Linked DNA regions of Arabidopsis thaliana. The protein of the gene in region 2 interacts with the protein of the main gene of each other region in a pairwise test. Each region holds a gene or a part of one and is shown on either strand. Other genes may lie near its edges.

The links. The genes of interacting proteins can lie anywhere in the genome.
Region 1: the proteins of AT5G54360 (region 2) and AT2G22760 interact in a two-hybrid assay, tested with the Arabidopsis thaliana proteins (one large-scale study listed by BioGRID).

Annotation. Positions count from the first base shown.
Region 1 is NC_003071.7:9,675,068-9,680,696, reverse strand, and holds AT2G22760 (basic helix-loop-helix (bHLH) DNA-binding superfamily protein), read right to left. Parts: upstream 2,854-5,629; 5' UTR 2,686-2,853; coding exon 2,245-2,685; intron 2,107-2,244; coding exon 1,729-2,106; coding exon of another isoform or gene 1,693-1,728; exon of another isoform or gene 1,601-1,692; coding exon 1,532-1,600; 3' UTR 1,195-1,531; downstream 1-1,194.
Region 2 is NC_003076.8:22,068,832-22,073,992, reverse strand, and holds AT5G54360 (C2H2-like zinc finger protein), read right to left. Parts: upstream 2,132-5,161; coding exon 1,319-2,131; downstream 1-1,318. Other genes in the region: AT5G54350 (C2H2-type zinc finger protein), read right to left, coding at 3,073-3,858.

The sequences.
Region 1 (5,629 bases), on a different chromosome or scaffold from region 2:
TCAGGGAAAACTATCATTAATCAAGCATATTATGGCACACATGCTCTTGTGGTTATGTCAAAACCTCTACGATTATTCACTAATCAAAATCCAAGACAATGGAAGCTGAAGTAACATGTTCGTGTCGATATTCAAAGAGATGGAAACCATAAAATATATAGTAATTAATTATTGTGAGGTATTCACAGTGGTTGACTATCCTTTAACTTTTTTGTTTGTGGCAAAAGACAAGTTGTTGACGGAAGGAAAAAAAAACTTTTAACGGATTGAATTGATCACGTGATATATAGTACATGTGATTCATGTGATCACTCCTTTCTCGATATGAAGGGAGTTTTTAAATTCGAAACTTATTAAGAGAAGTAATTAGGCAAAACATTTTGGTATATGAGCCATTTAAAAGCGTTATTAACAGAGATAAGACATGTGTCAATCCGAAGATCACAAAGTTAAATGTTATCAAGCTATAGCTGACCCTTGATCGTGTGACTATTTATATCGGAAATCAAGAAATAAGAAAGAAATTTTAATAAGCTTAATTTATTGTAATTTTATTCTTAATCGATGCGCTGAATTATTATTTTTATTAAAAATCTTTATCTTAACTTTATAATTGATTAGTATCCCAGATTTGGGGTGAGTATAAACGTATCCAAGAAATGATTTTGTTAGGTGGTACTCAAAGGTTTTGAATTGGCTTTTAATCGTACCGCGTCGTGCGGCAATTATTATTTGGTCACGTCCCTCCGATACTGCCCTTGCCCTATGACTTCTAAATAGTTATTGGTAAATAGTAATAAATTTGGTTGAATTTAGCGTCATTTTTTTTTGAGCAAATGTAGCTTTTTTTTTTGTCGAAAGCAAATGTAGCTAAGTTGTTGAATTTGCTAACTACTGAAACTTTCAAAATAAATTACGAAAACTATAATTGTATATCTTTATTGGGGCAAAACTATAGATAATTAAGTTAATTCTTTTAATCCATTTTCATGCCCTACTATTTTTTCGTAAATATTTCAGAATTTTGTAACATTGACCTTCGATGTAATTTTGCTTTCTACAATATCTTTTTAATGTCAAGCAATCTTCTTTTCCTTTTTTTTTTTTTTTTTGATTGGTTAAAAGGTTTGCTTTCTACAATATGTTTCTTGTTGACATGAATGTGAATTTCATTAAGAATTGAAGAGGGTTTGTCAATAATTACAAAATACTTTAACAAGTCAGAAGGCATTACGACCATGCTAAGGATAAGGCCACATTTGTTTTTTTTTTTTGGACAGCGGATAAGGCCACATTTATTTCTGCCACTTAATAAAAAAACAATTCTGTTATATTTTAAATTCATTATTAACAAACAAAAAATGTTACATCTAAATTAATTCTCAACGGTCGTTATCGGAAATAGCTTTGCTAAAAAAACACATCAAACATGTGGGCACGTGTGAAAAAATCTCAAGAAGAAAACGATAGCAAATCCACGAAACGATTGTGTCAATGTACAGTCTCAGGTTACTAAAACTTGAAAGAAGACCTAAACCATTGCGAGTCTCAGGTTCCGTACAAGATCCTTAAGTATACTCATCGAAAAATCTTTATCCATCTGCCACACAAAAAGTTAAGAAAGCATAATTGTAGATTATCAGTTTCATTAATACATCAATATTATATTGGATGAACTACGAGTTATCCATTTTAGTATTGCATATATATATAGTTATTAATGATCACCTGTGCAAGGACTGTGATGTCGAGAGTCGAGTCTCCGAATGGCAATACGATGCTATTTTCAATGCGCAATTGAAAGTTTTCAATTGTGTTTAGTATGTTGATCATGCACCCTTTGCTTTTCTCGCAAAGGATTCGGATGAGAATGTCATTTTGAGAAATTTTCGCTTCGATTTCTGGTAATGCTTGATCGAATTCAATATGAACTGAAGGAGAACATGATAGGTTAGGTTCCTCGTCGAAAAACACTTTAGATTTCTTTACAAGAATCATGGATTCCATTTGTCTCGTTGCTTCTTTTTCTTCCTTGAGCGTTCTTAGTTGTTCTTGGAGTTGTTTCATACGCGAGATCGCGTCATCAAGAATCGTTACCTTGTCCGCCTAAAAAACCACAAGATAGTTTTGTATTCTCAAAACCAATTGACACTGATGAATTATTATTTTTTCTTCACTATGAAAATATCTATAGTTAAATATATAACAAATTTATCGATAATTTACAATTTAAATTTGCAATACCTTCTTAAGCCCGGGAAGGAGAGCTGAAAGAGCAATGAATTTTTCAGAAAGCTTCTCACGGCGCTTTCTCTCGGCTAAAACATGTTCTTTCGCAAGAACCGGAGATCTTGTGCCATGAGAACATGTTTTTCTTTTGGTTCCACGACCAACCAATTTATCCATAATGATCTCCTCCGCGGCTGGAGAAGAAATAACATTACTAGAGAAATCAAAAGAAATCAGTTGTTGCTTGTTGTTGATCTTCATCATAGGCTTCACCGCTGCCTTTGGCTTCTCTCTGAGGCACTCAAAATGCATTTGATGATCAAACTTTGACGATTGATCAGCTCTTCGTGAATTTGATAAAGATTCATCAGGTGATAAATTATTTTCTTCGTAAATATTAAAGTCGAAATCAATGTCTACTAGTGAGAAATCGGGTAAGAAAAAATCTTCATCCATACCCGAATATGAAGTAATAATCGATAAAGAAATGTCAAATAGTTTCCTGATTAAGACAAAGATAAATCGAGAGACGTCTTTATTGTTTTGTCGTAAAGGGTTTATGAATAGAAAGTGTTTTCAGGTATTCTTACTATATATTCGACAACGAGACGCGGCTTAAATTATTTTCTCCACTCCATAATTATGTTGACCAGATTGTGTATATAATGCATAAAACGTGACGTATATGTATAAACTAAACATATTATGATCGAAACTAGAAGTCTTCTCATTATTGTCTATAATGATCGTATAATTTGTTGGCTTCTAGTGGTCTGAGATTCATATACGTGTTATGAATTTGAAAAAAAAAAAACTACGTGTTATGGACCCAAAAAAAAAAAGTAAGAGAAGAGAGACGTGTAAATAAAATAAGCACGTGTTTTTGGTGTTGAGCTTATTCCCACTCGGAAACAACAAGGATATAGAAAAACTCTGTAAAGCCTCGTCCCCGTCTTCCCGTCCATCTAACAACCTCATTACTTTTTATAAAGGAAAATATACAAAAGTTATACTTTATTATCTTTTATTTATTATTTTAATTGTAATTTTATCCAAAAAAAAATCATATGAAATGTTAAGTTTTATACCGTTTGCAAATTTTTCATCCAGAAAATTACATTGTTAAATTGAAAGAGAAAAAAAACAAAATTTACTTACGAAACAAAAAATTACAACAATTTTTTAATGAGTTTGAAAATTCATGAACATATCTCGACTCGTTATACTGCAATAAATTAGATTAATGGTGGATATGATATCGAGGGATATGTTGCAGAAGAAGTTATGATACCATGTGGATGTCGACATCTATACATTTATAAACAAGTTGTGTTTGATAATTAATCGATCATACTGTTTTGTCTTTAAACTCAATTTGATTCCGATAAGGCGATAACGACCCCAGACATAATAAATGTCCCTACTCCCTACCAAACGGGTTATTTAGTCTTAACTGCACTAATAAGAGGCCAGACCAGGTTGGTATGATGACGAATTCACATATACATCCACTATCCAGCCCAAAAATGCAATGGTTCTGGGCCATGGCCATTTAAAAACAAACATTTCATATGAAGGATTTATGTAAGAAAATTAAAAAGTTAATATGCCTACAATATAAGATCCAAAATTAAGGCTTCCAATTAGTCTGGGTCGGTTTAATTCACTAGTTCTCTGATGAAACGATTATGTACTGATTCGACTAATTCAATGTAATGACTAAACAAAAAAAAAATAAAAATGTAATGACTAAAAAACTGGATAATGAATTAATATGAGCAAAAAAAGAATTAATATGACAAACATATTTTTAACTAAATTATAAATATCAAAATTAGAAATTGTTCAATTGGTACTGATAGTTTTTTTTAAACAGTACCAAAAATATTAAAATTATAAATTGCCTTTGTCTCTAGTAATATTGGACCTAATTGTTTCTTCTTCACAAGCAATTTTATTAAAAAGGTGGACTAGCTTTAATTTGCTCATCATCCCTTCGACAAAAACCCAAAAATTGAAATGGTCTCGGCATTCGCAATTTGAGTTTGAATATATTTTTCCGTAAGCAGATCAGGAACTTGCTCTCCAACGCAAATTCGGAACGTTAGGAATCCTAAGTCTAACTTAGGATAAACGCCAATGTATGCGGCATGGAATTGGTAAGCTCTTGGAATATTCTTTCCGTAGTAATGCGTACTACAATTATATGTGTGTACATGTCTATCGTCACGATATATTTGATAATAAAGATTTGGTACGTATCTCTTGAAATGAAGTCACAACAGTGCCTTTTAAAAAGGTCAGTAGAATTATAAAATGGAGATTTTGTTAGAAAATTTTGGATACGAAATCTGGATAACATATAATATTTTTTTATTTATGATATAAAGTGAGACAAATGTGTATCCATGCCATGGTCCTTCCGGTTGGTGGTGCGGTGGGGACGGGATATGCCGCCGAAATATCATAAATCCAGCTGACGACCAATCTTTTACTCACACACTCTCTTTTCCTTTTTCTTTTTTATATATCATATTATTACATTAACACACTATTTCGTCAATGAGTTTGGATAGGACCAATCATTTTCATTTTATTATTGTCGTCCTAATCAAACTCACTGTTAAGGGGCCTTCCAATTTTGTCTTTTTCCTTCGTCCATAATTCTAATAGTTGGGAACTAACCATTTATATTATTCTATTTTATATACAAAAAAAATAGATTTTAGGTATGAAAATTGTTAGTGTTATTGGTTAGCCACTGGATCCGTAATTATTTGAATTCTTCATATAATATCAAAAACAAAAATGAGTTATTATAATTATAGACTACGTACTAATTTTTTTAGTTTATCATATGTTGAATTTCTTCAAAGCGAGAAGAGAGAAGACAACAAAACAAAATTCTTATAAGCGAGCTCCTACTATAATTTAATAAGATATTTTCCATCAAAACCCAAAACCAAGTTAGATAAAAAAATTCTAACAAATGTAAATTATATATAGTATAAGCGTTATTTCTTATCTAATACCCCTACTAGTTTCAGAAATATACCAGTAGCCTTTCTCTTCCCATCATTAAGGACAATTATGGTCCAGAAACAAAATATCATGTAATTAAGATTGCTGTTAGCCTGTTAGGTACTTAAGTTTATGTGACCTTCTAGGCATTTTGGTTGGACTTTTTGGACCTGACGAAGACAAAACAAAACTCCAAAGAACACTTTTGGTTTTCACATTTGTTTGACCTCCGTGAAACGAGTTTCCAATAGAATAAGGAAAATGCCACGTTTTTAATTCAATTAAATAACTCATGGCTCATGCATTGCTTTGGTCGCCTGTTTTTAAGGAATTTCCACTATAACTATAACTTTTGCTTTTTACTTTTTTCCGTAAGATG
Region 2 (5,161 bases):
ATATAAAATTCTAGATTCCGTTTTGCTATTGTATATGTGCTTTAAGAAGATTGAATCTGAGGAATATGGAAATGGAAGCGATGATTTTCTGAGAGGTCATCCTCAACTTGAGCTTTCGCCAGAAGCAGTGAGAGCGAGACTTAAAGAGTTGGCTTTGGCTTTAAGGAAGGGAGGAGGACAAGCCTTTATAAATAATAAGTACGTAGCTTACTTCTTTTAGGATGATTTTATTGTTGGGTCTATCAACCCAACATCTCAAATGAAGCGACGATGTTCGGTATTATTCCTATGTAACTACTATGTAAGCTTTGTGTGAGGTATCTACAACCATAAACCTAAATCTTCACGAACTTAAATTAATATATAAATGATCTGCACAAGCTCCAAATGCAAAATTATCAATCTCCTGCTTGGAAGAAAAAGCACTTGTGTTTTTCAATATTGACTTTCATTTGTTTGAGAAAACAATCCAGTTGATCCAATAGACAATTTTCAATACTATCAACTTCTAGACCTCGATCTTCATACTATGGAATAAATGTCTTCAGGAAATTATCTTTAAAAGGAGATTTCTCTTGAACAAGAGAAACAAAAATAGTTTTGATTTTTGTTCAATAGAAAAGATCTTTGGAGAATGGAGATGCAAACATCAGTTACAGCCTTACAGGTTTTTAAGTTTTATAAATTCTTACTAGGATTACAAGATTATATTAATACATAAAAAAAATAACAGTTTTATTGGATAACAGTTGTATCTTTTTGTTACAAATATCCTGAAAGATGATTACATTTGTAATACAATCTAGTAAATCGGATCTGGGTCAAGGAAGAAAACCGGGCAAACTGGAACCAGCGAAACCCTAATCGTCAAAAGGAAACCACTGCCTCTTTTTTTTTTTTTTTTTTTTTTTTTTTTTTTTTTTTTTGTGAGGTTACAATTACAACAATAGAAGATCAGATAGACCTTCTTTCTGCCTCTTATTTTTTTTTTTCAATTTTCCAAGGCTAACAAATTGTCAATGAAGAGATAATGTCTCTTTAACTAATGTTTTTAAGCAAATTGCAGATTCTCTCTAACCTTTGAAAAAATTAAGTTCGCTTACGAAAATGACTTCTGAAAATCTCAAAAATTTAAGAACAATCATGAAATGTAGGAATTGAAAAAGGGATTTGATGAATTAATCGAAACATCAAAATCATCAAAAAGACAACAAAGAAACAAAAAGAGAAAAACAATTGCATGAAAAAAAGAAGAGGTGAACATAGGCCTCAATAGAAAACAGAAAACTGAAAAACACAAAGGGACATAGATAAATTACTACTCTCCTCTTGATCTTTTTTTCTTGGGCAACCACCTTATCATCCCGATATCCTCATCATCTTCAGGCACCATGACTTTGTTTTTCCCCTTTGAGATGAGACTTTTTGAGTGACTAGAGCCCGAACCATGCTCTTGTAAAGCAAAAAAATCATAACAAAGATCGGTGGTTGGATAAGCAGGAACATGTATATTGCTTGAATCAACCTGGTTTCCAGCAACCAAACTGTATCTAGGCACACAAGGACCCACGGGAGTCATTAGATTCCCATGGAACGATGAGTTAGTGTTGTTATTAGTGCTATTGTTGCTGCCTCCTGTGGACTTGGATGGACCAAGAGTTAGATCAAGATTAATACCATCAGTTGATAAAGCATGTGAGCTACCACCTTGGCCATACTTACAAGGGCCAACAGGAAGCCTTTGCAAGGTGAAAGGAGTACTATCACAAAGCATCGCATCCTCGATTATCTTTCGCTGCTTCTCCAATTCTCGTTCCTTTTTGTGGCACTTCATGTGACCGCCTAGGGCAAAACAGCTTTTGAAATTCCTCTTGCAGAAACGACAGGTGTGGCTGATCTTGTTATCCTTGGGAGGATGTATTAGCACGGTATCTCTTTTCTTTCGGAAAAAACTTAATCTGAAACTAGGCATCTCAAGGTTTGTCCTTTCAGACACAATCTCTTGAGGAGACCTTTGTTTCGGATTGTTTATTGTCTCCTTCTCCTCCACGGCCACAAGGGCACTTTTGAGTTTTTGATCATGTTTGTGTGGGGAGGAGGAGCTTGAAGAAGACATAGATTGGTTGTTCATAATTTGTTTTGTAAAACTTTGCTGACAGTTAGAAGTGAGTGATGTCTTATCTCTTTGCTTAGAGGCGATATTTATTGAGAGGATAGTAATTATTGTATTTAACTCGTTAAGGTATATAATCTCCAAGGGTAACAAATATTAATTGATACCGTAAAACTACTTAATTTTGTTTAAAAGCAATAATTGTTTCTCCAAGACTACAACTGTCATTCACTTTATTCTTTAATTTCTTTCTAGAAAATGATACTTCATAAGATAAAAACACAACAATATAATCAATATTCTTCATATGCGTTACGTATGACTACTATGAGTTATCTATATTCTTAAAAATATGGTTGTTTTTCTAACTATGGTGATTTTATACATTTTGTCTCTTTAATGTCTCTTTAACCTCTTTAACCTTTTGAAAAAATAACGTTTGCTTACGAATAATTGGGCCATGAATTCTGAAAATTGCAGGAATTTTAGAGCAATCATGAGATATAGGAATTGAACAAAAGGGACTGATGAATTAATCGAAACAACAGAGATTATTTGAAACGAAACGAAGAAACAATTGCATGAAAAAAAAAAGAGAGGTGAACATAAGCCTCAATAGAAAACTGAAAAATCAAAGGGACATAGATAAATTACTACTCTGGTCTTGATCTTTTTTTCTTGTTCAACCACCTTATCCTCCCGATAGTAGTATCAGTATAATCATCATCATCATCATCATTTTCAGGCACCACGACTTTGTTTTCCCCCTTTGAGATGAGACTTTTTAAGTGACTAGAGCCCGAACCATTCTCGGGTGAAGGAAACAGAAGATCGGTGGTTCCATTAGGAGGAGCAACAGGAGGCTCCACGGCTTTGTTCTTTTCCATTGAGAAGAGACTTTTCGAGTGACTAGATCCCGAACCATTCTCCTGTAAAGAAAAAAAATCATGATTGTTGTTTCAATAGGGAGGAGCCAAAGGAGGCACCCTGACTTTTTTTCCCACTTTGAGATGAGACTTGAGTGGCCAGTTTCCCGAACCATTCCCTTGTAAAGAAAACAAATCATAACAATAATAGGTGGTTGGATAAGATAAAGCAAAATGACGCACCATGGCTTGGTTCTTTCCCATTGAGAAGAGACTTTTCGAGTGAGTAGAGGCCGAACTATTCCCCTGTAAAAAAAAAAAATCATGACAAACATTGTTGTTTCCATTCGGAGGAATATACCTAGTGTTTGAACCAACCGGGTTTCCAGCAACAAAATTGTTTCTAGGCACACAAGGTAGCACGGGAGTGAACAATTTTCGATAGAACGATGGGTCAGTGTTAGACCAAGAAGATGGGTTAGTGTTAGACCAAGAAGATGGACCAAGAGTGAGATCCAGATTAATATCATTAGTTGAGCTGCTACCGCCATACGCTGGACCAAAGAGGCCGAAAGAGGGCACTGGAAAGCTTTGGAAAGGCGGAAGAGAAGTACCACCAGAAAGCACCGAGTCGAGATTTTTATCCTTTGGAGGATATTTTAGCTCGTTATCTCTTTCCGTTCGGACAACTTCTAATGTGAAAACAGGCAACTCAGGGTCAGGGATCGTGTTTTCAAACACAACCTCTTGAGGGGGCCTTTGTTCCGGATTGTTCATTGTCTCCTTCTCTTCCACGGTCACAACGGCACTTTTGAGTTTTTGATCAGGTTTTTTTGGGGTGGTGGAGGAGCTTGAAGAAGACACAGATTGGTTCTCCATTTTTTTTGTAAAACTTTGATGAGAATTAGAAGTGAGTGATTTCTTCTCTCCGGAGACGTATGGTATATATTGAGAGATTTAATTACTGTGTTGCACTCGCTAAGGTATAAAATCTCCAAGAGCAAATAGCATTAATTGTAACAGTAAATCTACTTTGAATTCATTGTTTTTTGTTTAAAAGAAATAGTTGTGCCTCTTAACAATCTTGACTTTTTTTTTTCTTTCTTAAATATACACCAATTTAATTAATATATTTCAAATTTGACTAGATTTTGTTTATATGAAGTTATGTGTTATATAACTACTATGAATAATTATCCATAGTTTTAAAAGTTATGGTTGTTTTTCTAACCATGTTGATTTATACATTGTCTTCCAAATTAAAATTTGGTGTGCATTATGTACCAACTGGCTTTGTATAATCTAATATTTATTTACTCATGATTTCAAGTACGTGTGTCTCTAGTTATCTTGACTTTGTTCTTTCTGTTTTCTAAAATGATACTTCATATGTTAAAAATACACCAATTTAATTAATATATTTCAAATTTGACTAGATTTTGTTTACATGATGTGTTATATATAACTCCAATGAAAGATAGAAAATATGGTTGTTTTTCTAACCATGGTGATCTTATACATTTTGTCTTCCAAAATAATAATTTTGTGTGCATACCAACTGGCTTTGTATAATCTAAAATTTATCTACTTAGCTAAAATATATCTATAATTGTTATAGTATACGTCATTATGTGTAAAAGTAAATTAAAAAAAACACTAACTCATTTCAATTTTTTTAAAAATGTTACGCTTCAGTTCGTTATATCGACCGTTGCAAACTGGTAACTTCATGTTATTTCATATAGCAATTAATATGTAAAAAATATTAATTGATATGTAAAAAAATGTATTAATAAGCTAAGTAATACAAGATTATATTTTCTATTATATGGAATGATGTTATTTTTCACTTATTTTCTCTAATATATATATATATGATAATTGCAAATACAAAGAAAGGGAAACACACCATTGTATATAGAATGTTAAATTTTGAGTCATTGTACATACAAACTCCAGCTATGTCTTAGTCAGCTTTACTACTTATTCTTGTTTTTTCTTATCCTGACTTAATGATAGATAGAAATTGTGTTTTGTTTCCTTAATTATGTTGTTTTCAGTTTCTTACTTTCTATGTTTTCTTTTGTTTATTTTCCTTTTTATTTACTTTCGATATACTTACTAATTACTAGGAAATACCCAAAATGAATACAATTTTAAATACTGATGGTGCATGAACTTT